2 linked regions of the Canis lupus familiaris genome follow. The protein of the gene in region 1 binds, or shares a complex with, the protein of each later gene. Links are inferred from orthologs where the notes say so. Each region holds a gene or a part of one and is shown on either strand. Other genes may lie near its edges. The genes, in order: CYFIP2 and BRK1.

What was found.
Region 2: CYFIP2 (region 1) and BRK1 share a complex: the UniProt entries of both Homo sapiens proteins name them as parts of the WAVE1 complex. The link is inferred for Canis lupus familiaris from reciprocal best matches to the Homo sapiens genes CYFIP2 and BRK1.

The regions. Positions count from the first base shown.
Region 1 is NC_049225.1:53,722,364-53,730,599, forward strand, and holds part of CYFIP2 (cytoplasmic FMR1-interacting protein 2), read right to left. Parts: intron 6,868-8,236; coding exon 6,793-6,867; intron 5,883-6,792; coding exon 5,729-5,882; intron 4,738-5,728; coding exon 4,581-4,737; intron 4,047-4,580; coding exon 3,950-4,046; intron 741-3,949; coding exon 664-740; intron 1-663. UniProt on the Homo sapiens protein: Involved in T-cell adhesion and p53/TP53-dependent induction of apoptosis. Does not bind RNA. As component of the WAVE1 complex, required for BDNF-NTRK2 endocytic trafficking and signaling from early endosomes.
Region 2 is NC_049241.1:8,296,044-8,305,063, reverse strand, and holds the start of BRK1 (protein BRICK1), read left to right. Parts: upstream 1-3,306; 5' UTR 3,307-3,387; coding exon 3,388-3,505; intron 3,506-9,020. UniProt on the Homo sapiens protein: Involved in regulation of actin and microtubule organization. Part of a WAVE complex that activates the Arp2/3 complex. As component of the WAVE1 complex, required for BDNF-NTRK2 endocytic trafficking and signaling from early endosomes.

The sequences.
Region 1 (8,236 bases):
TTTGAAATCCCAAGGTATTCTATTCCTCCTAGGTAGATGTCTACAAGCCCCATCCCCTGAGCCCTGCCTATCTCTCCAGCTTTATCATGTAACTTGCCTCCTCTTGTGGCCTGTGGACGAGGCATTTACATGTACTAATTCACATTAATTGTCTCAACTGCCCTATGGAGTAGGCATGCTGTCAATACAATACTTCTACTTCAGGGATTTTGCACAAGCAGTTCTTTTGCCTGCAATTTCCCGTCTCATCCTTTACTTAGTTTTACTTAATCCCTATCAGCTTCAGATAAGAATGCCAACATTACTTTCTCGGGATAGCCTTTCCAGTTCCTCATCTGAAAGACTAGTTCAGGTTTAACCATCATAGATTCACGTATTCCCATGAACTTTTCCTTTGCGGGGAGCATGCAACCTCCCTTATCACTGTGCTTTCATCAGTTTTTACTAAAGTCTGTTATCCCTACTAGTCTGTAAGCTCCATGAGGTACAGCACCAAATCTGCCTATTTCCTTTCTCCTACATTTCAGCACCCAGTCCAGGCCCAGGTAATCATTCATATTTCCTTAGGGGCTGAAGAAGAAGAGAGGTTTCACAACAGGAAACTATGTCTTACAGAGAGCAGTCTAAGAACATTTGTTCCTTACAGCCCTGGGATTCTCATACCTGCCAGCCATGGCTTTGTAGTAGGCAAAGATCTGGTCCGCCAGCTTGTAGACAAACTGGTCAAAGCACAAGTTCACCTGTGAAAGGGAAGCAAGAATGTCAGTGCTGTGCATCTAGCTTTATCACAGAAGCATAGGCAAATTGCAAGGGGCATCTGGGCTGTATTATGTGTTGTAGAGCAAGATACTTTGAATAGCAAAAAAAGAAGATTCTGTGGCTAAGTAAGTTAAGAAGTTTGGTCCCTTGCCCTCAAGGTCCTTAATTAGGTACAGAGAAGGCAAAGTTCAAAAAGCTGTTGAGGAACTGGCCTCTGCTTAGGTCCCCTCCTTGCAGTTCCAAGGTGGGAAGGCAAGATAGATCTTCATATCCTGCAATTATTCACATCAGCCCACCCTTCCTCTTCCCTGCTAGACCTTCTCATCTTTTCCTTTCATTTTATTTGTTACTTGCTTGACAAACGAAGAAATTGATGGTCCTCGGAAATTGAAAAAGATCTTTTTTTCAAACTTTGCTTGAAAACCTTTGTCTCTTAATGAATATGGGCTCAATTTGCCATCTCTGTGTCTGTCTCATCACATCGGTGGCAGATTGTGATGCTCAGGTGAGAAGTTCATGTCTGACACAGGATCAAAACCAAACCCTCCATTGATGGCAAGAAATAGCCAAGGGTGGGACCTTAATGAGATGGGGCTGTGGTGGTAGCAGAGCACCATGTGACTTCAAAGAGAACAGAGCATAATTAGGGGACTGATCTTCTAGTCTTCCTTCACCAAATTCTCAGCTCCATAAAGCTAATTCTTTATCTGAAGAGCTTCTGTATCTCTTACTTTATACCCTAGATGTTATCTTGAACATAAAACACAGAGCTGTGTGCAGTTTTGCCCTCAACTGCAGGTAAGGCCTCTGCTCTGGACTTATGCTTCAAGGGTCCCACCAGGTCTTCTTCCAGTTGAAGAACCTGCAGGGCTAAGGTAGAGGTGCCTACTCATACCCTAAGCTCTCCTTCTAGAACCAGCCTTTACTATCCTTGTCCCAAAAGCTCAAGCCCCTTCAGACCTGTCTGTAGTTTTCCCTGGTATTGTTCCTGAATGTGGATTGCATGGCAGGTGTAAGCACCCCTAGGGTTGAGGGTTAGCTAAGGGGCCATTGTTTGTGGGCAGTGGTGGCAGACAAAGCTTGGGTATCTACACACATGCACATGAGGCTCTTTGTAGTACAGAACAAAGTCTTCAGATGGGAAGAGAAAGGGGACAGCCCATAAGCTGGGAGGGGGGTCTCAATCTGTACTGACCCCATGCCCTCAAATGTTACCCAGGGCCTGGCTGTGTGCTTTCTTCATATTTAAGAATCTCACTTGGCCACATGACACTCTAGAATTCTTTTGCTTTCAACCTGTTGGAGAACACAACTATACAGGATCTTGTCAGAGCATGGGGTTGTCAAAGTTAAGATGCAACCAGTTCATTTGTCTCCTGGAATCTCTCTTCCTAAGTTTGAGCTCAGGAGAAGAGATCTGGGTTGGAGTCCATTAAGGTTTTCAACTCCCAAAGAAACTGGAGGGTAGAGAAAGCAAACAGTACCTCTCCTAGATTTTCTTTGAAATACATAAACTGTCAAACTAAGTTGGTGGTGGTGTTAATCCTAAAACACTCATGTCTTTCCTTTATAAACAAGAATGTTTTATATTTCTATGATATTTTTACCTAATTGGCCTCATTCTGTGTTTATATAGCCCCATGCAGTTAAGGAAGAACCCAGACTATCATTCCATTTCCCAGGAGGCAAAACTTAGAAATTTCAGTAGCCATCACTACTATTGGCCTCGTCCTTCCATGTGGCAGGATTGTACTTCCTTGCGCCTCTCCGTGAAGGTGATGCAGTCATGTGACTTGCTTTGACCAATGACATGTGTCATTTCCAGGTGGAAGTTTTGAAGTAGCAGTAACACTTCCTCCTGCCATGGCAATTAGTGAATGTTCCATGTGGGTCCTGACTCGCAGACTACATGGACCAGAGCCCACAACCAACCCATAAAAGAGAAATAAACCTTTGATTTCAAGGTACTAAGAATTTGTAATTATTTGTTACTGCAGCATAACCTAGCTTATCCTGACCATTACAGAAATAAAGCCATTGAGTGACTAATAATAAACAGCTTAATAGTTGAGATAAAGGTTACTTCAATCCTACCACTCTACCAAGTGACACTTTACACTGAGTGACCTTGGCATTATGATAACTGACCACTTTAAGTCTAAGACTAATCTGTAAAACAGATTAATAGTATATACCTCCTTAAATTGCTGTAAAGGTTATTTAAAAAGTTGTTTTAAAAGCAAATGGTGAATATATAATAACTGATAGGTGATATTGCTGTTATTATTATTAACAAAATGTTCCAACCATAAAAGATTCATTAGAATATTAATATTACCCATGCAGTTTTACCATTTGTTATCCCTTAATATATCTGAAAAAGAAAGACCATCATCTTGGTCTGGGTCCTTTTTGATGATCATGATTTGTTAAGATCACTCTCCATATAGTGAATGCTATTATAATAGCATTGTACGGGGACAGATGGTAGCTACACCTCTGGTGAGCACAGTTATGACGTACAGAATTGTAGAATCACTGTGTTGTACACCTGAAACTAATATAACATTGGGCATCAACTATACTGCAATTTTTTTTTTAAAGTCATAAAAAGAGATCATTCTCCAGAACAAGTCACTGATCCCACATTGCTATGGTCTGAATATGTGTGTCCCCCAAAATTCATATGTTGAGATCCTAACCCCCAAAAATATTAGGCTGTGGGGCCTTTGGGAAGTGATTAGGTCATGAAAGTAGACTCTTCATGAATGCGATTAGGGCTCTTGTAAGAGAGAAACTAGGGGCTCAGTCAGTTAAACTTTTTGATTTTGGCTCAGGTCATGATCTCAGGGTCGTGGGATCAAGCCCCCGAGTCTGGCTTTTTTTTTTTTTTTTTTTTTTTTCTCTCTCTCTCAAATAAAATCTTAAAAAAAAAAATTCTAAAAAGACCACAGAGAGCTCCCTCACCCCTTCCACTATGCATACAATGAAAAGTCTGTGACCCAGAAGGATGCCCTGATCTAGACATCTAGCCTCTACAACAGTATTTTTTATAAGCCAGTCTGTGGATTTTTGGTATAGCAGCCTGAATGGACTAAGACAGCCCACTTTGTGCCAAGAGCTACAGATTTAAAAAGTCCACATTGTTGGAATAAGATTATAGGAACAAAAGGAGATGCGGGTCACTTGCCTCAGCTTCAATCTCATCATACAGGAACTGCTTTTTAAACTTGGTCAGAGCATAGTAGGCGCTGTCATTGTACAGGTCCAAAGGGTAGAGGACGTACCTGAAGAGAGAAAAGCAGAGACCAGCAGCTTACTAATCAATCTGAAAGCAAGTGGATTGGGAAATATGAAGGTTTGGGTGAAAACATGAATAAGCTTGGGGTTAATATGAGGGAGCCTTCCAGCATTCTGAGGTTTCCAAATTGCCTTCGGAATGCCTTACTTTACAGTCTGCCTATAGAAATCAGAAGTCCATGATGTTAATAAATCCAAGGCCTGAAACAATTAGTCTGGGACCAAAAGAAATCAGGTGGCAGTTAAGGATATTAGCTTCCTGGTCCCCAGAGATGACTATCTTCCAAGCATAGCTGCCTGACACTGACAGAGCACAGGAAGGGCAGTTGGGCTGGTATAATCCTGAGCCTATCTGCAAGGCTGAGTCAAATCTGGTATGACCTGATCCTTGGCATGAGCGCTTTTCCTAGTGGGGCCACACTGTCTCATCTCGAAAGTTCTGGAAAGAACAGAGCTCCCTAGCAAACTGCCCTCCCTCTGCACCCTGGGAACCTCCTTGCTGACCCAATCCTGCCTCTTACTCCATCATGGAAGGTTCTTTGGTTTCCAGGATATGGTCTGTTAGAATCCAGGGCATGGACATCTCAATTGGGAACTGGATTCGCCGGCCCATGGTTAACTCCAGGAAGAATTCTCGGAACCAGAGCTGAGAGAGGTCACAACATTGCTGCAGGGCTTCTGAAAGCATTAAGGAAAGAGCAGTGGGTTATACAGAAGAAGCACCAAAAGATCTTTGTTCCTATTAACTTGGTTCTTATTGCTTTTGCTATTTCTACCACTATACTGGAGTACAGCAGGTACTCATAAATATGACCTAATCAGTAGATCCTGCTCTTTTACCTGAAGGTCAGTCTAATATCTACTTAGAAAACAGTATCTGTTAGACTCACAGTAGCAGCCCCATGGTGGAGGAGAGCAGTGACATTTTAAAGCTTTCGATGCCCCCATAATCTCCATCGTCCTCCTACAAGGCCAACCTGAAGACCCACAATCTTAGTGGAAAAAGTGTGCTTGCTATCCAAACATAGTGTCAAGCCAGCTCCCCAAGTGCCCGCTTTTCACTGCTCCTCGTCCCCTTGTACATAGTAATTCTGGTTTTTATCCACTTAGAAGCCTTGAGGGGCCCTGGTCTGTGCTCTAATGGAGATGTCTGGATTCGTTAAGGTTACTGTTCTAGTACCAACAAATGCATTACCACTCCTGGGTCTCTGGAGGCTGCTGTCCTTCCCCCTGCCCTGTCCCACCTGCAGAGGTGTCCTGCTAATGGGAGAACAGGACTGGGGGACACGGCTTGGGGTCCAGCTTGGAAGCCTCCTTTGCAATGAGCAACAAGACTAATCAGCACAGAGCTGCTGCTTAAAAGCTAAGGCTTAAGATGCCTGGTTGCATCTGTGGGTATGTTGCTGGATTTAATCCCCTTTACTAAGGACTTCATGACAAATAAACCACAAATGTCTACCAGACAAATTTAGCTGAGTCAGAATAGCTGAACTGAGCCTGGCCTTTCCAAGTCCACCAGAAAGTGTGCATTTTTTACCTCGGTGGCGAAACGTGCCCTTCTGGCCGATGACCACATTTCTTTGCAACTTTTGGTCCAACAGCCTTAGTGGGTCTGGGACCTGCCCCCACCCAACCGTCCTCTCCCCACTGCCTGGATAGCGTCACTCACCACTGATATTGAGCAGGTGTGTGAAGAAGAAGGACTGTTTGTGGAAGTCCTCTATGGCGAGGACAATGGGTCCATCAAGGCTGCTCCTCAATGTCTTCTTGGAGCCACTCTTGTCTGCGATGAGCGATTCAAGCATGGTCCGCACCATGTACAGCTTGAAAGAGAAAGTAGGAGGAGAAGGTCAGGGGCTGGCCCTCTATCCTGGGGTAAAGGTTTCTTTGTGCTGTGTTTATATTTTTCTTTTTTTCTGCAGATGTCTGCTCTTAAAAAGCCCTTCTTAAGGAAGCACCAGTTTAGGGTTGGAGAAGTGAATTTCGAACATGTAAACCTTCATGAGGGAGAGTGGCCCGCCCAGAAAGGACATTCTGCCCAGGGCCTGTGGCATCCCTGGGTAGGAGGACCTGATGTAATAACAAGTCATTTAAGGCCCAAGTTTTTGCTGGCTCTGCTTGGCCAAGGGCGTGGGCATCAGAGGAGAACCTCAGTTCACATCACTCTGGAGTCACTCTCTGCTTTACTGGTTGGCTATGGTGGCACCCTGGACTTGGGTCTATGGCCAGGCGCTGCTACTGTCTTGCTGTGTGACCTTGGGCAACAAAGTCCCACTCTGGGCCTCAGTTTTCTTATCTGCTAATACGAGGGGGTTGCACCAGATGCTTTCTCAAGCCAGTCCCTTTCAGCTCTAGCATTTTGAGGAATTGCGAAATGCGGTTTGATCAGAGCAAGCCCCCCGCCCAGCCACCTCAAGCTTCAGACCCTTAGCACTTGGAATCCATTACCAAGGGATGGCGCCCTCTGGTGGCGCCAGCTGCATTGCACAGCCTACTGAAATCCTGGGTGATAAGCGGGTGAAGATGGGTACTTACACAGGAGGTCTACTAGACAATCAACTCCCGCTTACAGAGGGCCTTAAGTGCAAAGGGTGCAAGTGCTAATCTAGATCTTTCCACATCATATGTCTTTGAATCTTAGGGCTGGAAGGGGCCTTGAGGAGCCAGGCTAGTCCATTCCTGCTGCCTCCTGGAGAAGTGTACCCCAACCAACCCAGCCAGGCGGTGTTATACCAGGGATCGGCAGCCTCTTCGGCCCTGTGTGCCACCAGTGGGGTGAAACAAAGCCCGCGGGGACCACTGGCAGGCCTAAGACATAGATAGGAGAAAAGAGGAGGGAATGGGAGGGCAGGAGAGACAGGGAAGAGGGAGAGAGAGAAGAGAGAGAGAGAAAGAGAAAAGCAAGAGGTATTGTATATGGTGGGAAAGCCGCCGCGACTGCTAGGGGCCACTTGCCGACCACCTCTCAGAAGCTCCAACCTCCCTCTGCCACCACGTCTGCTCTGGATCTCCTCCAGGACCATACCCACCATGCGCCTGGCACCTGGCCGGGCAGCGCAGCCACAGAGAGGAGGGGCACACCGCCCCTACCGCAGCATTTCCCTTGATGGTCAAAGAGCTACCATGGTGGCTGATTTATGGGACAGTCCACCCACTGCAACCCCATCGGTGGGCAGGCCTGATCATCCTTAAGAACTGAGAAGCACTGTTCTGATGATGGCCCTTGGAGCCACCAGGATTCTAATGATGGCCCTTGGAGCCATCCTTCCAGGAAAGGATTTATCAAGTACAATCCATGTGGTATTGACTTGATTTGTATCAAATTCTATTTGAAAATCCATTTTGTTGGTAAGAGGGGGACCTCCTCTCCCACCTATGTCTATTGACTGGAGCATTTAAGTCATCAGATCAGTCAGCATCCCAGCTATGCTAGAAGCCCCTGTCCACTATGCTCTGCAGGCCCTAACAGAGCCCTGGGGCGGGAGTCAGGAGACCTGGGTTCTTGTCCCACCTCCACCTGTGACTCACCTTGTGACTTAGACAAGTCACTTCCCCTCTCTGGACCTCAGTTTCCCCATCTGTAAAGCAGGGAGGGCACTGGGACTAGCTTGTCTCTAAGGGCTCTTCTGGCTCCATTAGAGAGTCTACTCAATGCATTTGTACCACCTCACGTAATTAGAGGCTGACTTGTGGTCATGCTCCCCTCTCAGACCACCTGTATAGATACTCTTTCCACTCCTCTTGTCTCCTTCTCTCTCTCCCTCTCTGCCTGTTTGGCCCTTCCCCTCAGCTTCCTTTCTAGTATCTTTCCTGCCTTGTCTGTGTCTCACTCACTTGAGTCTTGGGGCTTCCAGAAACACCTGAAAGCCCTGCTTAGCCCCTCCAGGGTATTCTAGGCTGGAAAGGTTCTTGACATTATACAGAAGTGTTTGTAGAAGCTTCCTTGGGATTTCCAAGACCAGCAAGATCAGTGCAAACTGGCCCACGGGCTGTGAAGCCAAGGGAAGTGACAGTGATGCTGCTGAGAACCCATCCTACCCCATCCCTCCTCCCCGTCCCCTGCCCAGACACAGACACAGACACATAAAAGGGGTAGGGGTGGGCCTCGGATGGCTCATCTCAGATGGTTCACATTCAGGACTGCAGAGCTGAGTCAGGCTGGAAGGTCATGTCAAGG
Region 2 (9,020 bases), on another chromosome or scaffold:
GGGCTTTGTGCTGTTACGACAATCTGCACCACAGTCCTCTATGCAGTCTTTCAGCTCTGAAGGATCTATTTTTGGAAGTACTATTTGCTGTTACCTCTGGTTCTGATACTCCAGTTCCATGGCTACCACACATATATGGAAAACCAGAATCTCCCATACCACATATTATCAATGACCTACAACATCAACATTGTATCATGTAGCACTCAATATTCTGTGTGCACTGTTCTCAGGGATTGTCGTGACAGCAGCCACATATGCTCTGCCAAAAGATGGTTCAGTTCTTTCAAAGCTAGCAACATTGCCATGGTGCACATGCAATCCTTAGCTGCATAAATGATGGTCCAAGTGCACGCGATTGCAATAAAGATTCACATAACCATGCTTAATGCAATTGACACATTTCTTCAAGCTTTTGACTCCACACTGATTATTACACATGGAGTCATTGACAAAATTCCCAAAGTTCTATGAAGCACATGGTAGACCTAAAGGCAGGGACCTTGTTCCCTTATGGCTGAGGCAATTTGCCACCCAGAAGCACTCCTTGTTGCACCAACAGCATTCCCAAAGGTTTTGCCTCTGTATCCTTGCATCACTCATCATAAACAATTTCTGCACTGAAGAACTACCACACTGGCAAACCCATACTGGAGGACTTCCTGATAGCAAGCTCCCTGAGGTATGTAGGGAAAAGCTCCAGAAGTCCAGAGGAATATTCTTCACTGTAGGAGAGCACTATATCCTTGAGTTGTTTGGAATTACAGGGGAGACCCTAGAACAGGTGTATAGGAAGTCCAGCAAAAGGAGAAAAGCTGAGCCTGACTTGTTCATGGAAGACCATTAATCATAAAAAAATAAAATGTTGGATAGATATGTGTACTTAATTTTCTTTCTGCCTAAAAAGAAAATGTAATCATGAGTGCCTGCTTTGTGAAGAGTCAGGCACTGTGCTTAGTGTTTTATTCTTTCTTACAGAATTCTCCCAACAATCCTAATCCATCCATATTGTTATTCCTTTTTGTTTTTATTATTTTTATCTTTTTAAAAAAGATCTGATTTATTCACGAGAGAGAGAGAGAGAGAGAGAGAGAGAGGCAGAGACACAGGCAGAGGGAGAAGCAGGCTCCATGCAGGGAGCCCGATGTGGGACTCGATCCTGGGTCTCCAGGATCACTCCCGGGGTTGAAGGTGGTGCTAAACCGCTGAGCCACACAGGCTGCCCTGTTATTCCTTAAAAAAAAACAAAAAAACAAAAAAAACTGGAGATCCCTGGGTGGCTCAGCGGTTTAGCGCCTGCCTTTGGTCCAGGGCGCGATCCTGGAGTCCCGGGATCGAGTCCCACGTCGGGCTCCCACCATGGAGCCTGCTTCTCCCTCTTCCTGTGTCTCTGCCTCTCTCTCTCTATCATAAATAAATAAATAAATAAATAAATAAATAAATAAATAAATCTTTAAAAAATAAATAAAAGTAAGTTGATTTAAAAAAATAAAAAAAAACATTTATTTATTCATGAGAGACACACAGAGAAAGCACAGACACAGGCAGAGGAAGAAGCAGGCTCCCTGCAGGGAGCCCGATGTGGGGACTCGATCCTCGGATCCTGAAGCAGGATCCTGGCCTGAGTGCAAAGCAGATGCTCAACCGCTGAGCCACCCAGGTGTCCCCATATTGTTATTCCTGTATTACACATGAAGAAACAAAAGCTCAGAGGGATGAAGTGACTCCTCTTTGGTAGATTTGTGATTTGAAACTGAGATGCCGTGCCTTTAAAGGAAAAGCTGATCTATCCGATTTCTCTGTGACATGTGAGAAATAGAACTACAACAGTATTACTCAGGAAGCGAAGTCTTGAGTGTCAGTTATACCTCTGGATGCCAGGGGTTTAATAGTTAGGGATGTTTATTATTTAAGTAACCATTTCTATGAATACATGAGAGAGTTCAGAAAGGCCTTAGCCTGTTTACAGAGTGATACGAGAAAATATTGGAGTCTGGAATTAACTGGTGAAGGTTCACCACTTAATTGTCTATGTGACCTTGAACTTCAGTTTTCTCATCTGTAAAATGAGAAGCCTCTTCCTGATTTCCTTCCACAGGGTTTGTGAGGGTCCAGTGAGGTAATAGCTATAAAAGCAGCTTTATAGCTTATAAAAACTTGTACCTAAGTAAAGGACTGTTAGTAACGATTTCTTCCCAGCTACTGCTAGAAGTAATCTGATCAAAAATTTTTTTCAAATAAAAGGCACGTATTGCACAAAGCAGATTGTAAATACTCCCTTAAAGAAAAATAAAATTGTCCATAATTCCACTACCTTAACAAACCAGACATTGGCATCTTCATGTATCCTTCTTGTCCTCAAGCAGACAAATTTTTGATACAGTTGCAATTAAAGACAATTTTGTATTTCATTTTCCTCTTCAATTTATCATGTATGTTGCCATAGTGCCCAGAATTACTATTTAAATACATTATATTGCCATAGGTGGCTATATTATTTTTTTTTAGAGATTGTATTTATTTATTCATGAGAGACACACATAGAGATTGGGGCAGAGACACAGGCAGAGGGAGAAGCAGGCTCCATGCAGGGAGCCCGACGTGGGACTCGATCCCAGCACCTCGGATCAGGGCCTGAGCCTAAGGCAGACGCTCAACCACTGAGCCACTCAGGCGTCCCTGGTTGTTTTGTTTTGTTTTTTTTTTTTTTTAAATAACGTTACAAAGGGCACCTTTGTGCTTAAAGTCTTTTTTTTTTTTTCTTTTTCAATGATTTTTCTCAATGAAATAATTAGGTCAAAAAAGTCCGAATTTTTTTTTTTGACAGCTCTTGCTATCAATTTACAAATTGCCTTCAGGAGTTGTGCCAGTTTACAGTGTGACCAGCTATTTAGGAGCCTATCAATTTCCCCTGGGCCTCTCCATCACTGGGTGCCATTGTTTAAACAACAAAAAAAAATGTTTTGTTCATTGGATGGGTCCAAGGTGGGGAATCATGTTGTGCTGCTGAAAGCCATTTTTAAAATGAGTCGTACTTAATGCGTCTTAATCGGCGACACACGGCCAACTTAGTTTGGAGCAACTGACCGAGCGAGCGTCTCGCGGTCCCGCGCCCGCTAACGACCCAAACCGCGGGCGACCGGGTCTGCGGTGCGCAGGAGAGGCGCGGCGCGTGCGCACTGCCCCCTCCCCGGCCGCCTTCTGGCGACTTTTTTCAGGGGCGTGGAGCAGAGAGAAAACGCACGCGAGGACTTGACGTCGCGCAGGCGCATCACAATGCCGGTGGATTCGTGGGTGCCAAGGGATGGGCGTGGGCTGGCGGCGCAGGCGCCCTGGCGGCCTGGAGGGTCGCGGCGCCTGCGCAGTGGCTCTCTTCAGGCGGCAGCCATGGCGGGCCAAGAGGATCCGGTGCAGCGGGAGATTCACCAGGACTGGGCGAACCGGGAATACATTGAGGTCATCACCAGCAGCATCAAGAAGATCGCGGACTTTCTCAACTCCTTCGGTCAGCGGGCGAGCAGGGGGCCGCGGGGGTTGGGTAGGAGGCCGCTCGGGCAGTTTGGCGAAGGCGCTGAGAAGCCTTGAAGGGGCTTGCCCCGGGAGCCCTGGGCGCTTGCTGGTTTCCGCGTCCTTTGCAGCCCACCTTGCCCCTCTCGCCCGGATCCTTAGGCCTCACCGGGCAGTCCCTGTAGGGTTATCCTGCGCCGGGCTGAGCTCCTCGGCTTCATTGCCGTCACCAGCAGATCCATTAGCAAGCCTTGCCCTCTCCCCGACTCTATAGAGGCAGCTGCATCCACAGCCTCGTCTTCGGTAGCCTCCCTGCTTCCTTTGTGACCCGCTTCCCTTCCAGTTCCCGCTTTGCACTTAGGGTGCGTCAGTCACAACGCAGCCACAGCCGTGTCGCTGCCCTCGTGTGAGTTTCTTGAGGCTTCCGCATCATTGTCAGGATCTCTTGAGCGCCATACCGTTGAGTCGCCTCTTCTGTCTTCCGGTTTTGCTGCGCTGAGAGTGGTGGGAGATGAGGCCAGATGTAAGGTCACGGAGAGCTCTGTATTGCTGCCACTAGCCAGCAGTAGGTATTGCTTCTGCTTCTAGCAAAATCTTTCCTAGGCATGGCGCGCTTGTGACAGATTCTTTCTGTTTTGTTCGTGTCCTTCTGGACAGCAAACCTGTAACAGACTCCCATCTCATGTGCTCCAAGTGTTTCCTTAACAGAACTGGGCACTGCGTAGACTTAAGTAATCACAAGGTGTAAGGATGACATCTAGTGATCTTTTTCCAACTAGTGTGCTTCTGTTCCACTAATTCAGCAACAAGCAACGAAGATTAAGTAGGGGAAACCGATGTATTTAAAAAAAAAAAAAGATTTTAAATGAATTAATTATTTTCCAGCTGGAGAACTGATGCATCCTGAGGAGTAAGGTAAAAGAGCATGAATTTTCTTAGAAAGCATCAGCAAGAGAAACCAGATCTCGGTAGAAAGCGCTCTCAGGTACTCTGGAGGACACAGAATAAGAATCATTTCCTGCTTTCAAGGAATTTCTGTCTTGCAAATGAAATAATGACAGTTTCAGAACATCGGTTTTGTATTAATATATATCCTTATAAAGTGTGTAGGACTATAATTTTGATGAGTCTTAGTATGATGGATCTTTCTCACCAGGGAATGACTGAGGGTAGTTACTGAAAAGAATAGTATAGAGTCATATGAAAGAATAGTATAGAGACGCCTGGATGGCTCAGCGGTTGAGCATCTCCCTTCCGCTCAGGGCGTGATCCCGGGATCCAGGATGGAGCCTGCTTCTCCCTCTGCCTGTGTCTCTGCCTCTCTCTCTCTCTCTCTCTCTCTCATGAATAAATATATGAAATCTTAAAAGAAAAAGAAAGAATAGTATAAGTATGTCATTGATACATATTCACACACATAATTTGGTATAGAGGTTGTAGTAGGGAATGGTAGTCAACATAGATCTCGTATATCCTGACATCTTTTAAGGACTATGAGCAAAGGAGTATGGTTTAGTGAAAAAGATACATGGATTTTTGGAGATAGACTCAAGTTCAGAGGCTAGATTAATTGATTTGAGTGAACTGAGACTATTTACCCTACTATTCAGATAATCTGGGTTTCTTTCCTCAGTTTTTTTCTTTTTTCCTAAGTTCTATGCAAACTCTTTCAATACTAGTTTTCATAATTGGTTTCTCCTACTTTTTCTGGAGAGCTTGAACTATTATTGGAGGTTGTTCACAGCATTATTTACTCATAACATTTCTTCAGACAAAGGACCATGGAAGAGAAACCAAAATATTTCATGGTAGTAGAAGGATGGAATGGTGCTTCTTCCAGAAGGAGGATCCTTCCAGAAGGATCTTCTAGGAGAAGATCACGGCTTGAGATTTGGCTTAGTTAGGAGAGGCAGTGGAAAGTAGTTGGAAAAATCACTGACATGGAGAGTTTTAACCTTAAAAAGCAGAATTAAAAGATTTCACCTATCTGGTAAGATCTGATCTATACACACAGATTATCTAAGCAAAGTATTAAGAACATCAACTAAATCAAAACATCTAAAATAACAAGTCATAGGGCGCCTGGGTGAGTTAGTCAGTTAAGCTTCCGGTTTCAGCTCTGGTAGTGATCTCAGTGTCGTGAGATGGAGCCCCAATTTGGAGTCCCTGCTCAGTGCACAGTCTGCTTAAGATTTCTCTCCCTCTCCCTTTCCCTCTACCCCACCCACTCAGGCACATGCCTTTTCTTTCTCTCTCTCTCTCTCTCTCTCTTTCTCATAAATGAATAAATTTTTTAAAAAGTAAATTAAGCTGGGGCTGTTTTTCAAAATTTAAAAATGATCTAGCACAAGTCCCCCAAATTTGGATCTGGGTAATGTAATAACTTCATTTCTGAGCACTGAGTTGTATTAATGAACCTTTTTTTTTAAGGATTTATTTATTTTAGAGAGAGAGCGAGCTTGAGTGAGGGTGGAGTAGAGGGAGTCTTTTTCTTTTTTTTTTTTTTTTTTTTTCTTTTTTTAGATTTTATTTATTTATTCATGAGAGACAGAGAGACACAGGCAAAGGGAGAGAAGCAGGCTCCATGCAGGGCCTGACATGGGACTCAATCCTGGGTCTCCAGGATCACGCCCTGGGCTGAAGGCGGCGCTAAACCGCTGAGCCACCCAGGCTGTCCCGAGGAAGAGATAGTCTTAAGTAGACTCTGCTGAGCTGGAAGCCCAAAATGGGGCTCTGTCTCAGGATCCTGAGATCATGACCTGAGCTGAAATTAGGATTTTTTTTTTTTTTTTTTAGATTTTATTTATTTATTCATTAGAGACAGAGAGAGGCAGAGACACAGGCAGAGGGAGAAGCAGGCTCCACGCAGGGAACCTGATGCGGGACTCCATCCTGGAACTCCGGGATCACACCCCGAGCCAAAAGGCAGACACCCAACTGCTGAGCCACTCAGGCGTCCCCTGAAATTAGGATTTGCACCACCCAGGTGCCCCTATATTAATAAACTTGTAAATCACATACATTTATCTTTGACATAAATCTTGGTAATTTATGATCTACAGTCACTAGATTTATAGTGGATGAGTCTCGGAACTGACCAAAAATTGAAGAGTTTGAGATTAGGATTTGCAAAAGAGAAATGTCTCTTGTATTGCTTTATAAGCAAGGAAATCCCTGCACTGAAATTTTATCAAATGTGTGAGTCACATTTTATGGTCAAATAGAGAATAAAGACTTTTCTTTTTGAGATTTCCAACATGTCCTAGGCTGAGGAAGTATACACACAAAATTCCAATCTTAAGGAGCCAGAAGAACTAGTTAGCGTAGGCCATTATTCTCCCTTAAAGTGATGCTAATGGTCTAATGTTGGGAGTGATTGCTAGATGGTTTTTGAAGATGTTAGATAATTAATTTAGTCCTTTTATTTATTTATTTACTTTTTAATTTAGTCCTTTTAAAGGAAAGGACAATTATTACAATTAAGAATGGAATTATAAGGCAAGGTTAGAAGCTAAAGCAATGTGATTCATCAGTCAGGTATACCTGAGGCAAGTTCTTGAAGATTGACATTATCACTGATATGAGTGTAGACAAGGACCAACAGGCTGAGAAACTTGAACAATCATGAAACACTTGAGACACTGTCTTGGCATTGAATGACTCAGGGTGAGCATGGGGCGGGGGGATAACATTTTCCCACTCCAGGCCCTTTGTGTGACCCCTCAGTTCTGAGGTGTATGTGTAGGGCTTAGACTGAGTTTGTAATACTATGATTTGGTGGTTCAGAGTTTTGTTTTTTTGTTTTTGTTTTTTTTTTAAGATTTTATTTATTTATTCATGAGAGATACAGAGAAAGAGAGGCAGAGACATAGGCAGAGGGAGAAACAGGCTCCATGCAGGGAGCCCGACGTGGGACTTTTTTTTTTTTTCCCTCTCCCCCGACCTGGGACTTGATCAGGGACTCCGGAATTATGCCCTGAGCTGACAGATGCTCAACCGCTGAGCCACCCAGGCGTCCTGGTTCAGAGGTTTAATAGGAATTTACTTTGAGGGCAGTCTTTGAAAATGGCAGCAATTCAGGGCTCCTGGTGCTCAGTCAGTTAAGCTTCTGCCTTCAGCTCAGGTCATGATCTTGGAGCCCTGCATTGGGCTCCCTGCTCAGTGGGGAGTCTGCTTCTCCCTCTGCCTCTGCCCTCCACTCATACTTTCTCTCTCTCTCTTTCTCAAATAAATAAATAAAATCTTAAAAAAATAAAATAAAATGGCAGCAATCCTACAGTTCTCACCCTGAACACAGAGAGTCTTGTAGGCCATGTGATTTGGAGAGGGAACAGTTTTTCCAAGCTAGCTAGTGACTTTCTGAACAGCTTTTACTCTGTGATTCCTTCCAACTGGTGAGAGTAATTATATTGGTGGACCACTTGAACCTGAGGCTCCACAAATCATGAGGCAGTGATGACATCCTAACACTGGCCTGTTGTGTACCTTGAGTTGTGAAGTTTCTAAAAATAGATTGTCACAGATGATAGCTTTTTATTTTTGTACTGTTGTACCTGATTCTAAACCTGATATGCACAAAGAAGTGTAACAAAAATAATAAATGTGGTTTTATTTATTGTTTGTTTGTTTAAGATTTTATTTATTTATTCGTGAGAGATAGAGAGAGGCAGAGACACAGGCAGAGGGAGAAGCAGGCTCCATGCAGGAAGCCCGATGTGGGACTTGATCCCAGGTCTCCAGGATCAGGCCCTGGGCTGAAGGCAGGCGCTAAACCGGTGAGCCACCCAGGGATCCCAATGTGGTTATTTTTAAATGTCAGTTTTATACTTAGCCAACAAGTATAGCATGCCTGTTATGATCCCAGCTGTGTGTCACATCCTCTGAAAAAGAAATAAAGATAAATGGACATGCTAGCCACTCCTGAGAAATTTAGAATGCTGTCAGAGAAGCAAGCCTTAACAGCAACAAGTCAAGAGAATGACAGTATTGATTTTTGTAGGCTAAGGTTATGTGCACTAAGAGTTCAGAGGAGCTGATAACTGGCATTTGTCAGCAGTGGTAATGGATACACCATCAAAGCACCCTGACAAGAATGACTAGTTATCTTCATTTAAAGTCTAAAGATAATATACTCCTAAATGCACTCTGGTTTGATTTGTTCAGCTGCTGAATGCCTTCGAAGTGTTTTGCTTGAATTAGTATGTATTTCTTGGGATCTGAAATATGATCAAAGTTTCTGGAGTTTAACATTTTATATTTCCCAACAGTGCTTATCCATTTAGGCCAGGAATGTAGTGTTGTTCTTGGATTCTGATTCACAGCCAGATCGACAGAGCTAGAACAGAACAGCCATCCAGGAAGGAACCCTCCTTCTCACCACCCCACCCCTGCAGATAATTCTGGCATGTCTCTTTTTATGGGAAATGACAGGTTGTTAGTGATAACATTCATGCTCTTACTGAATAGCATACATGATGTGCCTCTGAGCTTCTAAAAACCAGATTGAGAGAGAC